Linked DNA regions of Danio rerio. The main gene of each other region encodes a partner of the protein of the gene in region 2 in a complex. Links are inferred from orthologs where the notes say so. Each region holds a gene or a part of one and is shown on either strand. Other genes may lie near its edges.

Region 1 (7,112 bases), on a different chromosome or scaffold from region 2:
AGCACATTAAAACTTAATAAATGAAAAGAATTCAAACCAACTGAGTACTGTAAAACCCAATAAGGCAACTCAAACCGTTTGAGGAAACCGATTGCAACAAATCATATGAGTTTAAAAAAAAAAAACTAATTCATGTAAGGACTGTGAACTTATTCAATTTAATTTGAAGTACTGAGGTATTCAATTACTCATTGCCTTCAACATTGAGTTTAAAACTTTTTAAAAGGAATATAATAAATTTCTGTAAAAATTGAGTTAACTAAACTCATTTTGTTTGAAAAAGTTGATTGTGGGGTTTTACAGTGTATTAATTTCAACTTCAATTTTGTCCAGAAAGATTTTATTATTTGCCCCCAACTGCTCTACAATTATAAAAGTTTACATTATTTACTATTTTTATGTTAGTCACTAGAAATAAAAGATTCCCATATGTTATTTTTCTCCAAACACATACAGCCTTTGTCTATGAAGCTCAAGAAGAAATTTAAAGTGTTAATGCTTTCAGGTTAGGCTAATAACTGATCAGATTAGTCCTTTGCGGACTACATCGGAAATCCACAGTAAACATCTTAATAATTTGTAAACGAGTGACTTCAACAGCGAAGTATAACTTCACATGTACATGCACTGCAGGCTATGCAGCTAACAGACAAGAATGGTTTCCGATTGGGCTGGAGAACAGCAACTTCCTATTCGCTTGCCGTATGTTTTGTAATGCACGCGCAAGAAAAACTCACATGGTCGCTCATTCATTGTTAGCAAAACTTTTGTAGCCCAAGAAAGCTTTCTGACATGTTGAAGCAATTATTTACTGTTTATTTAGTTCGAAAGTTTCCTAAAACAACTTCTGATTTATTGTTTTGATAGGCGGATCTCAGAATCTTAGCAGGTAGGCTTTAAAAGTAAAAACGAAAAATGTAAAGTTTTAATACGTTTTTTTTTTATGTATTGTAAAATAAACTGATTACTGTTACCTTTTGTTATTATCAGCCTTCTAAAGGACTACATTTATCCTAACATGAACTCGTTCAGCTAATTTTATAATGGACATAATGAAACGTGAAAGAAAACGCATAAAAAGTCTTTGTCTTTTATGCAAAGAAAAAGAAAGTTCATAAAAGAATTATTTTCTTTCAAATGCCATTTCTTATAGACGTTTAAAATAATGGTAAGTAATACAGTGTCATATAATAGCCTGATATATTATTAAAGTAATCTAATAAAGTAATTTTTGATCTTATAATGAACAGCCTAAACTACTGTTTGCTATTAAATTAATTAATATATTTGCCTAATATTTAAAGAGCATTGTTGATATGTCTATATGTAAAATGACGTGTGGGGGAAAAAAACTTAAATCAGTGGAACATTTAAAGTTTTTCTTGTATTCTAGTTTCTCTCTGCAACTCGTTTTGGTCTTTGTCTTTTCTGTAAAAAAAAAAAAAAAATACAAAATTCCATTATATGCATGTTCTTATAGAGGTTTAAAGTAATAGTAAATAATACAGTAGCCTAATAACAGTTGCTATTATAGCCTAAGATAATATTATACTATGCTAATAAAATAACTTTTGATCTTAGAATGAACGTACTAGCCTGTTTGCTACTAAATATATAATAAATAAATAAATATATATATATATATATATATATATATATATATATACACAGAGTGTTGTTGATATGCTTATGTAAATGACTTGTGAGAACACTTAAATCCATGTAACATTTAAAGTTGTTCCTTTACTCTAGCTTATTTCTGCAACTCTAAAGTTTTTTGTCTTTGTCTTTTCTGTAAAAATAAAAGTTATATTTTTTCTTTAATATGCATGTTCTCAAAAAGGTTTAAAGTAATAGAACTTAATACAGTAACTTAGCTGCTATTATAGCATAATAAGCTTATAATACATTTATTAACATTTAAAGTTGTTACTTTATTGTAGCTTCTTTCTGCAGCTGAAGTTTTGGGCACAGGCAAATTACTTGTTTTACGGTATTGAAGTGGAATGTGCGGAATTTGTAAAGCTTCAATTCATCCTGAAGCGACAGCAGTGAGGTCTTTTAAAGTGAGAGCGCCCCTGTTTGATCAAACTCTATCAAACAATTTGTGTTGTTAAAGCTGCAGATGTCGTGTTTAAACTTTACCGGTGAGCTAATGTTTTCTTTTAACGCGGTTTGTTTCCGAGTCTAAATATTATAACTACTTTATTGTTTGTATTATTTTATTATTTGAAATATTTAATGTTTTGGTGTACAAAGAGAAAAAAAAAAGTTAAATGAGATTTAAGGAAATGTATTATTAAATACGACAAGAAGAATGCTTCACATGATTAATTTTAACAATTTATTTTGTTTATTTAACATTTCCACGAGGAGTTTTTTTTTAGATAAAAGCTCGTGCCGCAGTTCTGCCTGGCAACTGACGTGCTCCTCCATTGGTTTAGGCTAATTTGTGCTTCCTTCTTTAAGTCTAACCCCCCAAAAAGAAACAAAAAAATAAAACAAGCCTCCACCCAAGACCACACATTTGTTTCATATATAGCCTACTGAAACCACATTCAAGTTTGTGCAGAAACTTAGCTATATGAAACTTCATAAAGTAATCCAAAATCTTTTAAAAACATTTTAAAAGCCTGATTTTAAAAGCAGACAAGTGACTGTGACCAAATTTATTTTACAAATAAAACTTTTGATATATGCTTGTACAATTACAGTGACAAAAGTTTTTCAATGCGACAGTGTGGGCACCTTGATTTAGGCTATTATACTGCCCCCTACCAATACTAACCCAATACACATCTTCACCCCAGTCTTTTCCACCCCCGATACCCACGACACTAGCAGCCTGCCCCCTGCGCCCCCACCCCGGCCCAGCCTACCCCCACCACCGCTTCTCCTTGGTCACTCGTCACCCGGCGTAGGACCTCCTATTTCCATAGGGCTAAAGAAAGGAGCCAAAACTGAGAAGCAGATAGTTCTTTAGATTGATCCTCCGCCCTGAGCAGACAGCCTCTCGCTCTCTCACAGGCTCGCTGCTGCTGCTTTGATCTTCCCTTAACAACAGTCACGTCATAGGGGAGTTTTGTCAAGCGGAGAGCTGCAGCGAGACTTTTAGAGGGTTCAGCAGAGGCAGCAAAAAGCATCCACGGGACCAGTGTCCGACTCGAGCTCCAGCTTTCTTACTTTTCTCACTGCTAAACACTGAAGATATGGAGCACCAGTTGTTTTGCTGCGAAGTGGATACCATAAGAAGAGCTTACCAAGACAGCAACCTGTTGAATGACCGAGTTTTACAGACAATGCTTAAAGCTGAGGAAAACTATCTCCCATCACCAAATTATTTCAAGTGTGTTCAGAAAGAAATTGTGCCTAAAATGAGGAAAATCGTCGCGACGTGGATGCTCGAGGTTTGTTTTGGATAATATATTTATATATCTCTTTTTTTTTGCATTTGCTGCTACACACGTTGCCTCACGATGATTCTACTCTTGCTCTTTGGACTCCAAGAAGTATTTATTAAATGAAAAAAAATGCTTTAGTGTGACTTGGGTTCATCGGCATTGCTTATCCATCCCAGAAATATCACACAGAAACACGCTGTCCGATTATTGTTGCTTATTTTTTACGTAAAAATGTTTTATTACGAAATATTAATCCGACACGAGACGTTTTCCGTGCTTTCCGCTTTAGCCTTTTTATTTAGGGTTGTTATTTTTTCATGCATGCGTTTCGTTTCTTATAAATATTTTAAAATATAGATACATTTATTTATTTTTATTTTATTTTAATACCAATGTACACGTATGCATTCTCACTCGTGCCAGTAGCCTATTATACGCCATCTTTGTTGTCGTTTGCTTAAGTTTTTTATTTCTCTAAATTCTAAAATGGAAACATAATTGACATCACCTGCATAAAAGCGCTCACAAGTTGTCTTTTAAATCACAGGTATAACATAAATCAAATTTTTGCAAGAAAACGTAATATTTGTGTCTTAAAAGTTTTGTTTCAGTTTGTCATACCTCCTGCACGACGGTCTAAAAATATTGTATTATTTCATTTCTGAATTCAACATCGTGTTATAACCTATCGGATTATGTTAACCCTCTAATAATGTGGATTTACAGATGTTTAACAGTAGATTTAATGCTAAGGAATAATTTATATTAATTTATGAAACACCCGCTTCACCTAAATGTCGCATGCTTCCCTTTGTATGATGGGGCTTTGGATTTCAGTTCATTTCACGTAGTTTTTGTCATTGCAATCGAAATATTTTTGCATAATCTAATAAAGCATGAGTTACAGTACATTTACATGTGTTTAAAGTCAAGCAAAACAATTTTCGTATATTTTTAAATATTTTTTGAAAAGATGACGAACTAGAAAATTGTTTCCTGAACCGAGCTCAGACGCCACCTTTTTGCCTCGAAAGCAACGACCATTAGCATCAGAAGCAAATTGTAACATTTATACTTTGTGCAACACTTAGGATTAAACTTAAATTACTGATTAAATACTATTTTTAAGCATTTCCACGTGTCTTTTTTTTCTAATTTAACCCTTTCCACTGCACGTGTACGAATCAGCAGATGCTAAACACGTGGGATAACTCGATAAGATCAAAGCATACTGTAGCTTAAAAAATATTTGCACTTCGTTTATTTAATAAATTTCTATGAATAGTTTTTATTTTTATTTTTTATTTTTTTTTATTTATATATTTCTACACGTTTAATTAAAAGAATTAGCTGCTGTTGTGACTTAATATTTATTTATCGTATGCACTTTCTTTTCTTTAAAGGTCTGTGAAGAGCAGAAATGTGAAGAGGAAGTTTTTCCTTTGGCTATGAACTACCTGGACAGGTTTTTATCTGTGGAGCCCACCAAAAAAACCAGGTTGCAGCTTTTAGGAGCAACTTGTATGTTTCTGGCTTCAAAAATGAAAGAGACTGTGCCACTTACAGCAGAGAAGTTGTGCATATACACGGACAACTCTGTCCGTCCCGGCGAATTATTGGTAAATGTTTAATACTCTTTAATTTAGCAGCTTGATATTGTTTTCTTTTTTTTTTTTTTTTTGTGCTGAATTAAAGTAAAATAATGCAATTGAAGGTCATTTTGCTCAAAGACCTATACGTTAAGGTATTGCATGAAACAACGAGCTAAATGAGTTTATCAAAGTGTTAAGGCACCCACAGATATCTGTAAATAACAGTACATGTTACAAATTGTTGGTGCTTTTGATGTGTGCGTTAATTGAACGTAGGCCTTGCGTTATTGTGCAATTAATCGACATCTCCATCTAGCGTTCAAAGAGTGTAAAATCTGAAATGGAAAAATCGTCTGGGGCTTTATGTAAACTTGGACCATTTTATATCTCCCTCGCAGCAAATGGAACTGCTGGCGCTAAATAAACTGAAGTGGGATCTGGCCTCAGTGACACCACATGATTTCATTGAACACTTCCTTGCCAAACTGCCTATACATCAGAGCTCCAAGCAGATACTGCGCAAACACGCCCAGACCTTTGTGGCCCTCTGTGCGACAGGTATGTTTGTACTTTTGAGCTCACTTTTATTTTGTTTCGGTAACTTTGCAAAAGTTTTGAGCACTTTATCATGGTCATGCATTGAAGATCCTTCCCTCACAGTGTTTTACTTTCAGGCAGACTTCTTTATTGCAATTGAACGAGCCATCTTGCTTGTCCTAATTCCATACTCACAGTTATTGTAAACCAGTGAGAGGCTCTGCAAAGAGAGAGGAAGTCTGTTTCCTTTTGTGGTGATTGCTGACTGCTCCAGAGCTTCTGAGAAGCCCTGCCTGCTTCACGATACCGCTTCTGTGCACACAGTGCATGTGAACCAAAAAGCGGAAGTAGTTTTCTGACATTTTCCCTGTGAAAAGGGCTTTGTAACCTGATATTTTCCCATGTCTAGACATCTTGATGTCCAGGTACCCTTTTAGTTAGAGTGTTTGCTTCGGGGTAAGGCTGCAAATCCACTTTTTGACCTTACACCTCATTGTCGAGCAACCTACAGCAGTCAGTTTATCACCTGCCAGAGTAGGCCAGTAATGTTTCAGGAAGGAACTACTTGGGTATACTCTTTTTGTTCCTCCATTTACATGGTGGGTATCACCACAGCTCGCTTCACTTTTATGTTTATGACCCGCATTTCTTTGGGAAGTAGCCTGGGATCTTAGCCAGGGAGAGTGTGGTTGGATGGATACTGGGAAGGGGTGGGTGCTGGTGAATGAAATGAATGGGCTGGGGTGAAGGCTCCTGTGCCTTTATGCTCAATTTGTCTTGACAATTGCCCTCTCGTCTCTGAGCTAGCAGTGCTAGATGACTTCCTATTAGAAAGGCAGTTGTATTTCTCTATTCTCCATGTGTGGGCGAAGTGCAAAGTGAGAATATAAGGGCAAGAGGTGGCTTTGATTTATAAGCTCTGCTTAATGGATGTGTGAGGGTTATGAGTGCTCCGAAGCCATTTTTAGGAAGTTGTTGTGATGGGTATGGGTTTTCTAAAGCAGGAAATGTTAAAATCTTGAAATCCTAAGATTTCCATGCACTTTTAGTATTAACGTGCACAAAGAGGCATGATTTATGGGATGTTTTGAGAATGAGAGGGCTGTGTAGGGGGTAGCTTGCTCAGGACCTACAGCAAAGTTCTCTGCCTCCCCCGAAGGCTTTGAGCCCCGCTGCAGAATGGCCTCAAATGTCACGGACTGTCCCCTACCAACCCTGCTCTCATTATAGTTTAGTCATGCTATGCTTCATTATGAACCCAAGCAGTATTCCTCATAATGAGTTTTATTCTGTTGGCTAGTTACTTTCTGAGAACGTCCTTAGGTTTGACCAGAGTCCCCTTTTTATTTTCAGACGTCAACTTCATCGCAAGCCCTCCCTCCATGATTGCAGCAGGCAGTGTTGCTGCAGCGGTACAAGGACTGTACCTGAAAAGCACCGACAGTTGCCTCTCATCCCAGAACCTCACCAACTTCCTCTCGCAAGTCATCAGAAGTGACCCTGTAAGTAGCGCCACCTTCCATGCATTATTCCCAGCAAGTCAATTTCTGTGTCCCTGTTACTAACTTTTTACTTTCTTCCA
Region 2 (7,071 bases):
ACCCCGTCATCACGCACAGAGGACGCGACACACAGATTACGAGATCTTTCAGCAAAACAAGAACCTCAAACAAACAGTTGCAGAACTACTACAGTTCTGAAGGAGATCAGTGTGTGTGTGTGTGTGTGTGTGTGTGTGTGTGTGTGTGCCCATGAGTAATTGTGTGTATCAGTGATTGTGTGTGTGTATGTAACTGTGTGTGTGTACCTGACGATGTTGGGATGGTCGAACTGCTCCAGGCGCTTCAGCAGAGCCACCTCTCGAACCGTGGACAGTGGGAGTCCGTCCTGATTGGTCTGCACCCGAACGCTCTTCAGCGCCACAAACTGCCCGCTGTCCCGATCCCGAGCCTTATAGACGGTCCCGTAAGCCCCGCCCCCGATCTCTGCTACTGGCTCATACTGCAGCCCCACCTCCTGCGCCATCTGCAAACACACACACATTACTGTGCCATCACCTGATGCACGCGCACACAAGTTCCTCTGCAGGCATCATTACCTGCACAAACATACACACGCTCACACACCTGTACACACACACACACACACCTGTACATGTGCACACACTGCTGTCAGTATGTGTGTGTGACTCTGCTGTAAGACAGAAACATCAGTTTTAGCTGTATTAAGACAAACCTGCACACACACACACACACACACACACCAGTTTCTCCACATTTACTCAACAGCTCAGTTGTGTGGCGCTGCTGGTTGTGTAAACAGGCCACAAACACACAAACCCAGAGCCTGAAAGCACATCACCATCACTAGAGCCAGAACAACCTCGAACACACTCTGTGTGTGTGTGTGTGTGTGTGTGTGTGTGTGTGTGTGTGTGTGTGTGTGTTAATACGCACACTTTGATTCTCCTCTTTCTTAATATAAGACTTCTCTGATGATCATTAGTGTGACATACAGACATGTAGGCTGTCATTGATCTAAATAAACTGTACACACACACACACACACACACACACACACACACAGTAAAGCAAGCAACACTGCATTTCTGCTGCCCAGCGCTGCACCATTACAACATTTCCCCACAAAAAACTTCCTAAAATGTCAAAAATTGACTTTATTTTTAAACATTTTCCATATTTGAGTGTTTGGTGGATGATGATGACCTGTAATTTACTGCTTCTCACACACAACATGTAAATATATATATATATATTTGGTGCATCAGTAAAGCTGGCCACTGTGCGCTGTTCATCCTCCCTCCTGTTTAATGTTTATAAGTGTGTGATAATTGTAGAAGTGTTTCAGTGAGGTTAACTCTGTGTTCATAGTATAAGAGAGCGTGTTTTTCTTAATAACTGTACATTTTCTTTGATATGACACCACACAGGCTCCTTATATTGATGTGTGTGTGTGTGTGTGTGTGTGTGTGTGTTCAGTAGAGCTCCTGCAGTTGTCTTCTCCGTGTTCTGCACTCTTCAGCTCAGCGGCAGTGTGAGGATGTGTTTACCCGCTGCTGCTGGAGGAGTGTGTCCTGCACCGCTGTAATGAGGTAAACTGTGGTAAAGCGCTGTTAGTGCTGGCCGGAGCTGCTCATTCCCAGGAGGAGCAGAACAACATCAGTCACAATCACGACACTCACAGACTCAACAACACAACAACAACAACACGTCATCAAACACATCCACCGAGCTGAACCAGCATAATCGAGACATCATAACACGGGTCATTACGAGCACTGTATATACTGAACACACACACACACACACACACACTTCTGAGCACTCACCACGTTTCTCCGCGCGTGCACAGCTAGTTAAACTAGTTTATGAGAGTGCAGCGCGCATCGCTTCTGCTCCGCGGCGCTCAGATGCGGGCTGTTGTGCGGAGTTTGCTGTTGACTGAGGATTTCAGTTCATATTTCAGAAGTTTAACTCATTAAAGTTTGTGTGAGAAACTCTGGCCTGTTCACAGTCTGTCTCAACTCACTTCCTGTTTGATCTCAAGGCGGAGCGACACGACTAGACCCTCACACACTTCAGCCAATCACAACACACTTCCAGCAGTCACCTAACACACTTACACCAGTAAACTTACCTCACTAGCACACTTACACCAGTAAACTTACCTCACTAACACACTTACACCAGTAAACCTCAATATTACCCTAATAAACGACTTGAACTGCATCCCCACATCAGCAGACATTGGGTGAGTGTGAACACGTGTGCTGTGAGTTGTGTTTGACTGCAGGTAATTCAGCACACATGATTAATGTGCTCCTCATCATTTATGTTGTGTTTTCTGAATAAACACTTTGCAGTTTGGGTTCCACTGTCGCCTCACAGCAAGAAGGTCGCTGGTTTGAGTCTCGGCTGGGTCAGTTGGTGTTTCTGTGTGGAGTTTGCATGTTCTCCCCGTGTTGGCGTGGGTTTCCTCCAGGTGCTCCGGTTTCCCCCACAGTCCAAACACATGCGCTATAGGGGAATTGGGTAGGCTAAATTGTCCGTAGTGTATGAGTGTGTATGGATGTTTCCCAGAGATGGGTTGCAGCTGGAAGGGCATCCGCTGCGTAAAAAATATGCTGGATAAGTTGGCGGTTCATTCCGCTGTGACGACCCAAGATTAATAAAGGGACTAAGCCGAAAAGAAAATAAATAAATGAATGTTTCCTGCAACACATTTCAGAAACAGCTGCATCAGTGAAGCGTTTCCCACTCTGTCATGCTGCCGCTCCTCTTCACAACACTCAGAGACGTTTAGGGACTGAAGACGGCGAGTGCTGAAGTGTTTCAGGGATAATTCTGTCTCATTCCTCCTGCAAACAAGTCTTAGTGTAGGCAACAGTACAGCGCCACACATTCTCTATTGGAGACAGGTCAGGACTGCAGGCAGGTCAGTCCAGCGTCTGTCTCCTCTGGAGCATCACAGAAGAGCAGGTCACCTTCGCCAAGAGCACCGACACAACCCCAGACCATGACAGAGCCGGGCTGCTGGACGTGTTGCTGGTGTCAGTCTGGATGATCCTCTTCTTCTTTGGTGTGGAGCACACGGCGTCCATTTCTCCCAGAAACACCTGAAACACTGCTTCATCTGAGCACAGGACACGTCTCCACTGTGTGATGCTGCATCCCAGACGCCTCCCAGCCCAGAGAAGCGCTGCTGGACACTGTTAACATAGGGCTTCCTCTTGGCACAGTGCAGTGTTGGCTGGTGTTTGTGGATGTGACTCTGTATTGTGCTGCTTGTCACAGGTTTAGCGCAGTAGTGCTGAGCCCATGTGCTGATCTGCTTATAGATGAATGAAGATTCTTGATTTGTAGTAAAGCTACATCACCAACACACGTCATCAGCATATGATAATGTGCATTTCTGTGAGGGCGAGGCCACAGACACTCTTATTAACCTGAGAGAAAATTAAATGAAAATGTGTGTGTCCAGCAGGTGTCAGCAGTGTGTGTTGTGTTTCCTCTGTCTCAGCAGGTACAGACAGGTGAAGGCCTCATCATGTGCTGGGTTAGATGTGGTTGTGTTAGGGTTATTAGATCCTGAAATCTCAGATTGCACATAACATCAGCTGTGAGTCAGTAATGTGTGCAGTCTCAGGACAGACACTGACGCGTCACTCAACCAGAACAGAAGATACTTTGAAGAATGTTGAACACCTGTAGCCATTCACTTCCATTGTAGGAAAATAAATACTGTAGAGGTCAATGGTTACAGGTTTTCCTTTGTGTTCAACTGAAGAAAGAAACTCATTAAGGGTTTGAAATGCCTGAGGAAGTGTGTATGATGACAGTGTTAAAGTTATGTGTGAACTAACCCTTTAAAGGCACTTCATCAGACTGAGCAGTGAGTGTGATGGGCGAGAGAGGATCGACACAGTGAACTCAGATTAGAGAAAGCTGAGAGCGGAAGTGGAGCGCTGCCTCCGCCTGCTGAACGTGTAGATTTCACTTCTGCTCCATCTCCGAGCTCTTCAGTCTGCACACACACACACACACACACACACTCACACACACTCACCATGGCCTACCAGCTGAAACTGGCGGAGAAGCTGCTGATCCTCCGTGACCGTGGGCAGGGTGTGCTGGTGCGCATCAACCACATCAAGAAGGTGAGCGGAGCCGCTTCTGAAGTCCTCAGTCCAGATCCACACGCTGAAACCCTCTGCTTTATACGTTCCTGCTGCTCCTCACTGTGGACCTGACTGAGCGATGCTGGAAACAGTGTCCGGTGTAGTCTAACAGATCTTAGAAATGAGGGATATGTCTGTCTGCTCTGAGAACTGCTCTGTGTACAGCTGTTCAGACACGCGTGCTCGTCTTCTTCATATAATACACCTGCATTATTCACCTTAAAGAGTCGTAATGGCAGCATCAGTGGCAGGAAGCGGCTTCACTGCTCTGTGTTTTTCATTGGTTTATGATGTGTGCTCTTCTGTTCTGGTTTTCTTCATGTAGTTTGGAGAGTTTGTGCTGTGTTTTCTGCTTTGTGTTTTCTGAAGAAAGTCATGTTGAGTGTCAGTTTTGGAGAGAAAGAGGAAGTGCATGCAGGAAGTGAACGGGACTGTGAAAACCACATCTCTGTTTCTCTCTCTCTCTCAAAGACAGACACACACACACACACACACACACACACACATACACACACACTCAGCTTCAGAACAGTGTTACACAGTGTTTCATGTCCATCTATATAACACACACACACACACACACACACACACACTACTCAATACTCAGACACACTCGGCTCGCCTCCTGTTTTTCACATACTATACAGTAGGGAGGCATGTGACATAGACATATAAGGCGTCTAGAGCTCAAGCATGATTCCTCAAGTCAGCGTATCAGTGTGTGTGCGGTCGTCTGTAGTGTCTGAATCTATGATGAGCTGTACAGGGTTGGATATCCTGCTAATTGTTTACACCTGTGTCTTCTCAGTCCAAATCCTCGTCTCTCCATCAGTCTTTCATTGCTGTGTTTGACTTCAAAAGCATGTTGTGGTGAACTTTGACAGACTAGGCATCAACAGGTGTTATTGTTCTCAGGATGGCGCATCTCATATAATGATTAAAACTTATTATCGGGTTATAAGGAGATATAGAGTGTATTGTCAGCATAACAGTGGTCTCAAAGGTCATCTCACGTCTCCCTAAGGTCATCACTAGTCTATAAAGGTCATTGCTAGTCTCTCAAAGGCCATTACTATTATGTAAAGATCATAACTAGTCTCCCAAAGGTCATCACTAATTTGTAAAAGTCATCACTAGTCTCTCAAAGGTCATCGCTGGACTCTAAAGTTCATTACTAGTCTCCACAGGTTATCACTGGTTTCCCAAAGATCATCACTAGTCTGTAAACATCATCACTAGTCTGTAAAGGTCATCACTAGTCTGTAAAGGTCATCACTAGTCTGTAAAGGTCATCACTGGTCTCTCAAAGGTCATCACTAGTCTGTAAAGGTCACCACTAGTCTCTTAAAGGTCATCACTAGTCTGTAAAGGTCATCACTAGTCTGTAAAGGTCATCACTAGTCTGTAAAGGTCATCACTGGTCTCTCAAAGGTCATCACTAGTCTGTAAAGGTCACCACTAGTCTCTTAAAGGTCATCACTTGTCTGTAAAGGTCATCACTAGTCTGTAAAGGTCATCACTAGTCTGTAAAGGTCATCACTGGTCTCTCAAAGGTCATCACTAGTCTGTAAAGGTCACCACTAGTCTGTAAAGGTCATCTCTAGTCTCTCAAAGGTCATCACTAGTCCTACAAAGGTCATCACTTGTCTGTAAAGGTCATCAGTAGTCCTACAAAGGTCATCACTTGTCTGTAAAGGTCATCACTAGTCTCTCAAAGATCATCACTTGTCTGTAAAGGTCATCACTAGTCTGTAAAGGTCATCAGTAGTCCTACAAAGGTCATCACTTGTCTGTAAAGGTCATCACTAGTCTGTAAAGGTCATTACTAGTCTCTCAAAGGTCATCACTACTCTGTAAAGGTCATCAGTAGTCCTACAAAGGTCATCACTTGTCTGTAAAGGTCATCACTAGTCTCTCAAAGGTCATCACTAGTCTGTAAAAGTCATCACTAGTCTGTAAAGGTCATCACTAGTCTCTCAAAGGTCATCACTAGTCCCTCAAAGGTCATCACTAGTCTGTAAAGGTCATCACTAGTCTCTCAAAGGTCATCACTAGTCTGTAGAGGTCATCACTAGTCTGTAAAGGTCATCTCTAGTCTCTCAAAGGTCATCACTAGTCCTACAAAGGTCATCACTTGTCTGTAAAGGTCATCAGTAGTCCTACAAAGGTCATCACTTGTCTGTAAAGGTCATCACTGGTCTCTCAAAGGTCATCACTAGTCTGTAAAGGTCATCACTAGTCTCTCAAAGGTCATCACTAGTCCCTCAAAGGTCATCACTTGTCTGTAAAGTTCATCAGTAGTCCTACAAAGGTCATCACTTGTCTGTAAAGGTCATCACTGGTCTCTCAAAGGTCATCACTAGTCTGTAAAGGTCATCACTGGTCTCTCAAAGGTCATCACTAGTCTGTAAAGGTCATCACTAGTCTCTCAAAGGTCATCACTAGTCTGTAAAGGTCATCACTAGTCTGTAAAGGTCATCACTAGTCTCTCAAAGGTCATCACTAGTCTGTAGAGGTCATCACTAGTCTGTAAAGGTCATCTCTAGTCTCTCAAAGGTCATCACTAGTCCTACAAAGGTCATCACTTGTCTGTAAAGGTCATCAGTAGTCCTACAAAGGTCATCACTTGTCTGTAAAGGTCATCACTAGTCTCTCAAAGATCATCACTTGTCTGTAAAGGTCATCAGTAGTCCTACAAAGGTCATCACTTGTCTGTAAAGGTCATCACTAGTCTGTAAAGGTCATTACTAGTCTCTCAAAGGTCATCACTAGTCTGTAAAGGTCATCAGTAGTCCTACAAAGGTCATCACTTGTCTGTAAAGGTCATCACTAGTCTCTCAAAGGTCATCACTAGTCTGTAAAGGTCATCACTAGTCTCTCAAAGGTCATCACTAGTCCTTCAAAGGTCATCACTTGTCTGTAAAGGTCATCAGTGGTCTCTCAAAGGTCATCACTAGTCTGTAAAGGTCATCA

The links. Proteins that work in one complex are often made in the same cells at the same time.
Region 1: the proteins of cdk4 (region 2) and ccnd1 are in contact, whole or in part, in a crystal structure (PDB 2W96), measured with the Homo sapiens proteins. The link is inferred for Danio rerio from reciprocal best matches to the Homo sapiens genes CDK4 and CCND1. Residues at the interface, in NP_000066.1 of Homo sapiens: Gly45, Gly48, Leu49, Ile51, Thr53, Val54, Arg55, Val57, Ala58, Leu59, Arg61, Arg62, Ala65, Phe66, Asp76, Val77, Cys78, Ala79, Arg82, Ile87, Val89, Asp129, His132, Ala133, Asn134, Cys135, Ser285, Phe287, Arg288; in NP_444284.1 of Homo sapiens: Leu6, Cys7, Cys8, Glu9, Val10, Thr12, Ile13, Ala30, Lys33, Ala34, Thr37, Phe108, Lys112, Met113, Glu115, Pro118, Leu119, Thr120, Ala121, Leu138, Gln139, Glu141, Leu142, Val145, Asn146, Lys149, Trp150, Asn151, Leu152, Ala153.

Annotation. Positions count from the first base shown.
Region 1 is NC_133182.1:69,630,778-69,637,889, reverse strand, and holds the start of ccnd1 (G1/S-specific cyclin-D1), read left to right. Parts: upstream 1-2,930; 5' UTR 2,931-3,209; coding exon 3,210-3,407; intron 3,408-4,804; coding exon 4,805-5,020; intron 5,021-5,391; coding exon 5,392-5,551; intron 5,552-6,883; coding exon 6,884-7,032; intron 7,033-7,112. UniProt on the Homo sapiens protein: Regulatory component of the cyclin D1-CDK4 (DC) complex that phosphorylates and inhibits members of the retinoblastoma (RB) protein family including RB1 and regulates the cell-cycle during G(1)/S transition.
Region 2 is NC_133186.1:163,358-170,428, forward strand, and holds the start of cdk4 (cyclin-dependent kinase 4), read right to left. Parts: upstream 3,988-7,071; 5' UTR 3,987-3,987; exon of another isoform or gene 3,683-3,986; intron 1,956-3,682; exon of another isoform or gene 1,750-1,955; intron 426-1,749; coding exon 208-425; intron 1-207.